2 linked regions of the Arabidopsis thaliana genome follow. The protein of the gene in region 1 interacts with the protein of each later gene in a pairwise test. Each region holds a gene or a part of one and is shown on either strand. Other genes may lie near its edges.

Region 1 (5,276 bases):
TTCATCAAACTATGCATTACCAAACTTCATTGCTACTATGAAGGAATTGAAGGTTGTGATTATCATAAATCACGGTCTTGAGCCTGCAAAGTTGACTAACTTGTCTTGTCTCAGCTCGTTACCAAACCTGAAACGGATCAGATTCGAGAAAGTTTCAATCAGTTTGCTTGACATTCCCAAACTTGGTCTCAAGAGTCTTGAGAAGTTGTCCTTATGGTTTTGTCACGTTGTTGATGCTCTCAACGAATTAGAAGATGTTTCTGAAACTTTACAAAGTCTACAGGAAATCGAGATTGACTATTGCTACAATCTTGATGAATTACCATATTGGATCTCTCAAGTTGTTTCATTGAAGAAGCTTAGTGTCACAAATTGTAACAAGCTTTGCAGAGTCATAGAAGCTATAGGTGACTTAAGGGACCTTGAAACGCTGAGACTGAGTTCTTGTGCTAGTCTCTTAGAGCTACCTGAAACGATTGACAGACTCGACAATTTGCGGTTTCTTGATGTTTCTGGTGGCTTCCAACTGAAAAACCTGCCTCTAGAAATTGGAAAGCTCAAGAAGCTTGAGAAGATTTCGATGAAAGATTGTTATCGATGCGAGTTACCGGATTCTGTGAAGAATCTAGAGAATCTGGAAGTGAAATGCGACGAAGATACTGCGTTCTTGTGGAAAATATTGAAACCAGAAATGAAGAATCTGACGATCACAGAGGAAAAAACAGAACATAACCTCAACTTGCTTCAACTGTTTTAACTGTTAATTTGCTTTTGTGTGACATTGGAATATATATATAATATACACAGATGATATTTTACATTACATATATGATATATGTGTGCATGAAGAAAACAAGAAACAAACAGAGACAATACAAAAATTGGTAGAATTTGAAACCAGAGGATCAGAACACTACTGGTCTTAGAACAGATAGAGAAGTGTTTTGGTTGTTAAAAAAGGCTTTTTATTAGAGAGCGTAAACTATCTCTCCGCTACTGTCAATGTCGATTTCAGATTCAGAGTCAAAGTCATCCATGTCATCGTCAAGATCAAGATTGTCAGTCATGAAATCGTCTAGGCAACGGTTTCGAACAGCGGGAATTGTGGCTTCAGAGATGATTTGCATGATTGTGTCAAGGCTTTGCATTGGTTGTTCAGGCTCCTGGAACTGGCTTCCTGTGTTGCTCTCGTTCATTAGATCAGCAGGGAGATTCTTCAAGAACCAACTATGGGTTTTGATCTCTGGTATGCTTATTCTCTGTAACAAACAACATCAAACATCAGTCATCTCGCCGATGGTTTAAAGATTAGAGATGAGGAAAGGGAATGACTTACGGTAGCGGGATCAGCCACGAAGATTCTTGAAATAAGATGACAGCATTCAGGTGATATCCGTATGTCATCAGGGATTGAGTATTTAACGCTAAGGATTCTCTGTGTTTCAGAATCATTAAGAGAATAAGAGGAACATCAAGAGATGAACAAAAGGAACAACGTTTTAAGCGGTTACCTGTATTGTTTTCCGATAGTCTCTTGGCTCTTCTGGATCTTCGAACGGATACGCTCCAACCAACATGACGTATAAGGTCACACCACATGACCATACATCTGCAATCTGGTAACCGTAACACTCAATGATTGGCTATTCATCCTTAGAAATACAGAGATTACAGAGGAATTCTCTAAAAGCCTTTACCTTGCCATCATATTCCTGACGAAGCAGTACCTCTGGAGCGATGTATGCAGGAGTACCAACAGTTGACTTTGGTTGTGAATGAAGAACAGAAGACTGTCAAAAAGAAATGCATAAGCAAACACTTTAAAAACACATTTGAACATGACAATGGAGGAACCACAAGTGTATAGTTTCTGATACCAAAAGAACAAAATCATTTGTGATACCTTTGAATATCCAAAATCACAAATTTTTAATCGAGGAGCAGGACTTCCATCCAACAATGTATTCTCTAGCTTCAGGTCACGATGGCAAATTTGCTTCACAGCACATGAAAAAAAGTAGAGTATTAACAACAAGTTAGAAAAAAACAAGAATACAACCAGTCCATAGGCTCCATGAAACAGATTCTCTACATACCATCGAATGACAATAACTGACTCCAGATAGAAGCTGCTGAAAGAAGAACCGAGCCTGTTTACAAGAAGAGATCAAACCATAAGGAAACCGGAGACCTGTAAACCCGATAAGAGAACCAAATACAAACCTCATCTTCACTAAACCGTCCTGCATTGCAAATCCGCTCGTAAAGTTCACCGCCAGAAGCATATTCCATTATGATAGCCAGATGAGTCGGCGTCAAAATGACCTATCCTCAAGTACAAGAAACAGAGTTTAAAAGAGTCACTGGCTTAACAAATTCCAAAAAGACAAGTACTGAAGAAAAGTGTATAAATTTTACCTCTTTAAATCTGACAATATTAGGATGCCTTAGTGACCTGTGGTTAATGATCTCCCTTTGAACATTTTCATCAATCTGCAACTCCCATAGTTACAAGTCATTCACAACTGTCCTAATCTACAAAAGCAGAACACTCAAAACCAACTAAAAAAATCATTTCAATATCCAAAATTTCACATAAATCACAAATTAAAATCATCATTCAAGTGTTAGGAAGCTCACATCTTTAAAATCACATTAAAAGCACTCAAAAGCATAATCATCAAAATCTAAAAACGCTAACTTTAAGTACGAAACCAATAAATCTGGAAAGTGAAAGCTAAACCAAACACTAAAAATGAACGATCACTGGACTAAATAAATATCATCAACTTCCAAAAATAGAAAAAGATGAGATTTTTAAAAATGAAACCTTGTCTCCTCTCTCGATGTACTTGACAGCAACAAGCTCTTTAGTGAGTTTATCTCTCATAAGACGAGCAACACCGAAATTACCAGAACCAATATCCTTAACGAAGTCATATCGATCACTGTCGTGCATAATCGGCATATCCAACGGTCCTGTGGTCACCGGAGCTCGATCCATTTCTGATCACAAAAAGAGAAATTCGAATCTAATACCCAGCAGAGAATATGTTGTTGTTGTTGTTGTTAAGTCGCTGGAATCTAGGAAGAAGAAGAAGATTCGAGAAAATAAATGGAAAAATATCTTCAAGAAGAGAACGAATAAGGAAAGAGAGGAAGAAAAAAGGCAATAATTGGTTGCCCCAAGAGATAAGGATTGTCCCAAAACGACAACGTTCAGTTGCTTTGATACGACAAGAGCCGCCGCGTTTTGATGATTGATGTTGCTTCCTAAGAAACTATAACCCAAAAATATTAAAATTAACATGAAATAAAAAAAGAAAAAGCACGACTTCACTCGTCCTTGTCTCCTAAAATACAAACCTTTTTTCTCTAAATTCTCTGTATTTATCCGTTTCGATTTTTTTCTATTTTTCTTCGTTTTTCTCATTTTGAGAATTCGTATCAAACAAATAAATATTTGTGTTAAAAATAAGTAAAAGAAGAAGATATATTCGTTATAAATAACAAGATATTCTAATTAAAAAAAATAGTTTGGAGGAAACAGAAAAACTTAGTTCATAAGGAAAACAGAAGCTTGAAAGTCACGTGCTGCAGAAGCGGCCATGTGATGAAAGAATATTCGGTTGCGTTATTCCGTTACTTGACGGCGTTAGAAATAGACACTGATGACATTGACACTGACGTGGCAACTTCTAAGCATTTTTTAATTTAGTTGATGGGCCTGCCTCTAATTTTTACATAGAAAAGTCCTTTAGGCCAGCCCAATCCCACCATGGATGACATGGACAGTGACGTGACAACTTCTAAGCATTTTTCAATTTAATTGATGGGCCTGGCTCTAATTTTGTTAAAGAAAATGCCTAAAGATATAAGCAAAAGGCCAGCCCAATTACAATATTGATGATTAATTGGATGAATAGCATTTTATCATATTTGCATGAAATATATAGTCAAATCTTAGGTCATTGATTTTGTCGGTCCATATATATATAGAGACACACTTAAATTAGAATCTACTAAGGACTGTTGTATTAAATTGGATGTTGGATTGACCTAGTTAGAAATCTTTATATGGATTTATTGCGACACGAGACATTGATAAGAGTACCGAGGAAGGTACACTAGTGTGACTAGTGTTAGAGATAGCGAGGTGTATGTATAATTTTACTCTTAAGTTAATGAAAAGGAGTGAATGGTGTTTATGGGTAAGTGCGCAATTAATGGGTCAGTGCTTAATTTAATGGCCGATGCTCATCAATTTCACCACCTTCTCTTTATTGCTATACTAAGCATCCTACTGGTGAGATTAATATACTATTATATGCACATGCACATGAACATTAAGTATCCATGTTTCTCATGAATCATTCAGATCAAATATCTAAGCCACACTCACATTGATTTAGCTACTGATTGTTATGATCATCATGGTATGGACAAATGTGTTAAAGTGAATGAAAGTCTAATAATTTAGATTGGTGTGAGTATGTTAACTTAAATGTTACATCTGTTTTTCAGCCGGTTTTGATTCATGCGAATTCGTGAGGATTAAACACATCATGTAATATTGGGAGAGTCTTGAGGGATGGTTTATAAAGATAAAACGGTGATGATATAGAAGAGAGAGCCAAAAATAAATTAGTGAGTGGTCAAAGATTGTTAATAAATGAACCAACACAATCTTAATTGCCAAGCATTCACACTTAACTACTTCTTTAGCTTCATCTAGCTACTTGATGATTATTATATGCGTTTCCTTGTTTATATGTGAAGCACACACTCTCTTTTAAAAAATGATGTAGCCTTTTTGTAATTTGTTTTTCCTTAGCCTTTTTGGTATCATTATGATAATGTTTTCATAAACTAAACTCTTTTTGTTTCTTATTTCGCATTTTAAACTTTAGGTATATATAACAGGATCGATACTTTTCCAGAAACAAAAAAAAATGTAAATGCGGATATACAAAGATAGATTATTCATACTTTTTAATTTAATATTTCCGGTTGACGTCGGATATGTGATAAACCACTAGGGCAAGTAACACTTCTCTTGACATCTAATTTACAAATAGATTTGCAACCAAAAACACTAATTTCTCCTTTTTTTTACTTGAACCAAAAGAAATGTCAAAAAAATATTAATAGGGTACAAAGAAAAAAAAAAGCAAGGTAGTATTTGTTTCGGGATGGAGTGGAGATCTTTTGTTCAAATTGATACGAGGCCTTTGGTTTATACTTTATACCAAAACTGTCTGCAGGACTCAAAATCA
Region 2 (5,325 bases), on another chromosome or scaffold:
ATTTATCAGTTAAATGCTTATTATTTCATGCATTTGGTTCATAAAAAACCAACATCAAGTAATATGACAAAATTACAAAAACAATTTATGTTTCGAATTACTTCAAAACGTTCACATTAATAGTATTATTACAATACTTAGTTTGTATCTTGCCATTGTTGATGAATTGACTCTATGATTTTGATGGAGAAAAATATTAGGATTTTAGTTTATGGATAAACTTTTTTTGAAAAAAAACACAACCCGAATCTCAAAAATAGTTTTGTCAAAAATCTTGAGAAAAACGATGAGATTCGGGTTCAGATTTTTTCAAAAATAGTTTTATTCGTGAAAGATTTAAATTCGAGCGGAGATTGTTCCGCCCACTTTAAAAAATATTTTATTTTCTCTAAATAATTTTAAAATAAAATAATTATAATAAAAATGAAAATTTGAAATTTTTAGACACCATAAACTAATATGTTAATAAAATTATTTTATCCAAAATTAGAAAATTAATGTCATATAATCTAAAAAATTAATAGTTAATTGAGATGATAAGGGTAAAATTAAAATTTTATTTTTGTTGTCAGATCGTGAGTATGAAAATAACAATATTTAATTGTTTGAATATTTAAATTGCACAGTTTTATTATTTCATGTATTTTTCATGTATTTTTCTTCTTAGAAAAAACAATTGGGTATTAAACGTTTAAATAAAAATTAGTTAAGGTTTTTTTTTGGATTTTTACCCATTAGAAAACTCTTCCTTTTCATTTATTTTTACTTCTAGTAGTAGAGGTAATTTTTCTTTTTTGATTAACAAAGTCGTGAGGTTTGTTAGTAGAGACTAGAAAGTTGTTGAATGGGTAATTGATATGTTTTGCTCCACAAGAAAGCGGAAGTTTTTAAAAAAAAAGAAACAAAATTAGCATTACAATACCAATGATTACATATGTAAACAATATTTCCCGGAATTAGCTCGTATGAATCTAAATTAATATTGACAAAAAAAAAAATACCAATGATCACATATATGACAAAAAGAAAGAATGAAGGAGAACTCTATCATGGTTTGATGCTCATTCTATACGCTGGCCCAACGGTGACACGAAAGTAGACAATTCTTTTAAATAAGTTATCAAATTATAAAGAAGTAGAAATCATCAACATACCATTTACCAAGTGAGGAGAGGGCAAAATTTCCAAATTTGGAAGTGAATTGTATTAAACTCGACGCAAATCTTCTTAAAAGTCTTCTTCTTTTGGGTTGCTTGGATATAATGATTATTGCTTGATGTCAAAATTCGCACACCATTGGGATGATGGGACCCAAAAAGAATCACTACCCACTTCTGCCGTTGTTTCAACATCATTCATGTATAATAATCACAGTTTATCAAGCACACAAAATATCTTACATGAGTAACAACAATATGATATTAAAATTAATTTGGCACATAATTTAATCATTTGGTGTTCCGACCGACATGATACTATACTATAATTTTATTCCCATTTCATTTCTTATTTTTTTATATGCATAGAAAATTATTTAAATGCAAAATAAAATTTTAACCAAAAACCTCTAGTCTAGTAGTTTGTTCGATTGTATATAGAGTATTTTGTCATGTGCATAGATTACCACCATCTACGAACATTGTTGTGGTTTGATTTTCTCTTTGATCGCGGTAAACACCAACAATATATGACTAGACATTCATAAACTTCAGATGAGTTAGGATTTGATTTTTTAGAATTTTGGTTTTGAAAAAAAATTAGCCAACTAAAAATCAAACAAAAATTTACTGCGGTTCATAAGTAAAAAAAAAATCAATTTCCTTTTTAGTAATTTTCTTGGAGTCGAATTGAAGTAAAATTGTGCAGTTTACAACACAGAATTCGATATTTAAAAAATTTCTGTTGGCGAATTAAAATTGAAATACTATAATTATCCAAACTTTCTTCGGTTAGTTAATTAAGATCAGAAATAATGTCTAAATGGCAAGGTTAATATGGATATTTGTATCAGATCTAATCCCATTTTTAAAGAAAACAAACAAGGCAAAGGACACAATCAGCGACTAAAGCTCTCACACGTTACAGCTTCTTATTGGTTAAAAATGAACGTGGTTGTCAGCTAAATTAAGTGACTATGTTTAATAATCATTAAAACGGGATATTTATTAGTTTATTACCAAAAAATGAAAGCAAAATATCTAAACAATAAATAAAATAAAAAACCATAAGAGGAAAAAGCTTAACCCCTTAAAATGGCAGTTCGTGTCGAAGCTACTACAAACACACTTGTCGTCTCTTCTCTCTCTCGCAGCTCTTCTCTATTTTCAGCAATCGCCTATAATATTAGGTAAAGCTTCCTTCTTTTTGTTTATCCGTTTTCGTTTTCTTTTCTTCTCGAATCTGTCTTTGTCTTATCACATCCCCTGAAGTGTTATACTTTTTTTTTTTTTGGGTCCGATTCATAATATCTGTTTTGTCTTTTTTTTGGTTCTATGTTCTAAATCAAGTAGTAGTAGTAATGAAGTAACTATTCCTAAAGAAATTAAAGGATAAGACTTTTTTGTTTTTCTTCTTGAGGGTTTGTGTGATCTTGCTTTTACTCCAGAATCTTTTATAGATCTATCTTTTAGATACATTCAAGAATGGTCAAAGTTATGGATTTTGATCCAATCTTATATTTCTCTCTGAATCCAAGGATCCAATTTATACTCTCTGTATCACACACTTCTATGTATATGTTTGTGATTGATTGCTTCTGGCTAAAACTTTATAAAGTTTTGACATTTATATGAACGTTCCTGCCTTTTGCTTTTGGTCTTCTTTGCTTGCTCTTATGCAAGTATACTTAAAAGCACTATGTGACACATAGTTGTGTGGTGTGTTATACTCCTAAACCAGTTTCAATTTTCTGGTCTTGTTCTCTCTTAGGTAAAGCTAAAAGGGTCTGATTCGTTTGTTTTTTCACTGAAGAATTTGGAAGGAAGTGATTCCGTTGTGAAACAGAAAAGAAGTATGGGTACTCACATTGATATCAACAACTTAGGCGGCGATACTTCTAGAGGGAATGAGTCAAAGCCATTGGCGAGGCAGTCTTCGTTATATTCCTTAACGTTTGATGAGCTTCAGAGCACATTAGGTGAGCCGGGGAAAGATTTTGGGTCTATGAATATGGATGAGTTACTCAAGAACATATGGACTGCTGAGGATACTCAAGCCTTTATGACTACTACATCTTCGGTTGCAGCCCCGGGACCTAGTGGTTTTGTTCCGGGAGGAAATGGTTTACAGAGGCAAGGCTCCTTGACCTTGCCTAGAACGCTTAGTCAGAAGACTGTCGATGAAGTCTGGAAATACCTGAATTCGAAAGAAGGTAGTAATGGGAATACTGGAACGGATGCGCTTGAGAGGCAACAGACTTTAGGGGAAATGACTCTGGAAGATTTCTTACTCCGTGCTGGCGTTGTTAAAGAAGATAATACTCAGCAGAACGAAAACAGTAGTAGCGGGTTTTATGCTAACAACGGTGCTGCTGGTTTGGAGTTTGGATTTGGTCAGCCGAATCAAAACAGCATATCGTTCAACGGGAACAATAGTTCTATGATCATGAATCAAGCACCTGGTTTAGGCCTCAAAGTTGGTGGAACCATGCAGCAGCAGCAGCAGCCACATCAGCAGCAGTTGCAGCAGCCACATCAGAGACTGCCTCCAACTATCTTTCCAAAACAAGCGAATGTAACATTTGCGGCGCCTGTAAATATGGTCAACAGGGGTTTATTTGAGACTAGCGCAGATGGTCCAGCCAACAGTAATATGGGAGGAGCAGGGGGTACTGTTACAGCTACTTCTCCTGGGACGAGCAGTGCAGAAAACAATACTTGGTCATCACCAGTTCCTTACGTGTTTGGTCGGGGAAGAAGAAGCAATACGGGCCTGGAGAAGGTTGTTGAGAGAAGGCAAAAGAGAATGATCAAGAATCGGGAATCCGCTGCTAGATCAAGGGCTCGAAAACAGGTAAAGTTACCGTTTTGTTCTCAAAAACTTTGATATCAATATCATCTAACCAAACTGCCATTACCGTTTTCTTTTCAAGAACTTTGAAATCATTTTGATGTTTTGGCTAAACCTCAGGCTTATACCTTGGAACTGGAAGCTGAGATTGAAAGTCTCAAGCTAGTGAATCAAGATTTGCAGAAGAAACAGGTTTTTTTCTTCTACCATTTTTATTGCTTCTCCATAGAGAGTCTAGCTGGCTCAGTTATTTAACTGCGGTCTCTCTATGTTGCAGGCTGAAATAATGAAAACCCATAATAGTGAGGTAATAACGTTTTTCCTCTACTTATGTATATTTCATGTATACACCATCATTGTCTCTACATTACCAGACATTTTGTGTCTGTCTAAATGTAGCTCTATTGTCATTTTGATGACACACAGTTCACTGATACTAGTACTTGAATTTGCAGCTAAAGGAATTTTCGAAGCAGCCTCCATTGCTGGCCAAAAGACAATGCTTGAGAAGAACCCTTACCGGTCCGTGGTAAGAAGGTGAAGTCAAAGCAAGAAGAACCTGCTAATGTAATACAGGACCACTCAAAAGGAAGACACTGGGAGAGTAATATGTAATAGAAGATAGTGCTACTGTACAGGAGAAATTACAGAGACGCTTACAATGTAGAAATCTTTTGAGCTGAATTTAACTAAGAGTGCAGTCTGTGTAGAGTATGAGAGCTTTCAATATGAATTCATAATTTTCATAAACATATGTAAAACTTTCAGATTTAGCTATAGAGAAGATGTGACTAACTCAGAAAGAAAATCCGTTAATTGGAGAGTGAGGTAAACTCCGGCTGTAATGTGACCTGGAAGTAGTACTAGACGATGGACCAAAGATCCGGGAATCACCTCTTTGAATTCTCAAATTGCTTCTCTTCCTACTATCCCAGCCTATCTCTTCTTCAACCGCTTTAGCAAATGCGCTATGCACCGGATCACAGCTTTCACACAACAGCCTCAAGACTTGCTTAATTGATGGCCTAGACCGGCCTTCTTTCTCGGTACACAATCTCACAACCGTCACAACTGCATCAAGTTGTTTTCCTCCAGCATCATTAATAGAGTCTTTGATTCTCGGGTCTACCAACTCGAGGTGTTTTGATTTCGCCAACAAAAACCGCTGAGACATTTCCACAAGGTTCCTACCTTCATCAACTGCTCTTCTCCCGGTTATGAGCTCCAGCAACACAACTCCGTAGCTGTACACATCACTCTTCTCTGTCAACTCTTGCGTTACTACATATTCCGGATCTACATAACCTGAAAAAACTT

What was found.
Region 2: the proteins of SNRK2.3 (region 1) and ABF1 interact in a two-hybrid assay, tested with the Arabidopsis thaliana proteins (one study listed by BioGRID).

The regions. Positions count from the first base shown.
Region 1 is NC_003076.8:26,708,425-26,713,700, reverse strand, and holds SNRK2.3 (sucrose nonfermenting 1(SNF1)-related protein kinase 2.3), read right to left. Parts: upstream 3,400-5,276; 5' UTR 3,367-3,399; intron 3,282-3,366; 5' UTR 3,005-3,281; coding exon 2,831-3,004; exon of another isoform or gene 2,494-2,830; coding exon 2,419-2,493; intron 2,326-2,418; coding exon 2,224-2,325; intron 2,151-2,223; coding exon 2,097-2,150; intron 1,997-2,096; coding exon 1,904-1,996; intron 1,791-1,903; coding exon 1,698-1,790; intron 1,617-1,697; coding exon 1,512-1,616; intron 1,436-1,511; coding exon 1,337-1,435; intron 1,260-1,336; coding exon 969-1,259; 3' UTR 758-968; downstream 1-757. Other genes in the region: AT5G66890 (Leucine-rich repeat (LRR) family protein), read left to right, coding at 1-757. UniProt on the Arabidopsis thaliana protein: Together with SRK2D, key component and activator of the abscisic acid (ABA) signaling pathway that regulates numerous ABA responses, such as seed germination, Pro accumulation, root growth inhibition, dormancy and seedling growth, and, to a lesser extent, stomatal closure.
Region 2 is NC_003070.9:18,397,814-18,403,138, forward strand, and holds ABF1 (abscisic acid responsive element-binding factor 1), read left to right. Parts: upstream 1-2,192; 5' UTR 2,193-2,347; intron 2,348-2,373; exon of another isoform or gene 2,374-2,970; 5' UTR 2,971-3,012; coding exon 3,013-4,011; intron 4,012-4,128; coding exon 4,129-4,200; intron 4,201-4,285; coding exon 4,286-4,340; intron 4,341-4,463; coding exon 4,464-4,549; 3' UTR 4,550-4,804; downstream 4,805-5,325. Other genes in the region: AT1G49730 (Protein kinase superfamily protein), read right to left, coding at 4,805-5,313. UniProt on the Arabidopsis thaliana protein: Binds to the ABA-responsive element (ABRE). Could participate in abscisic acid-regulated gene expression.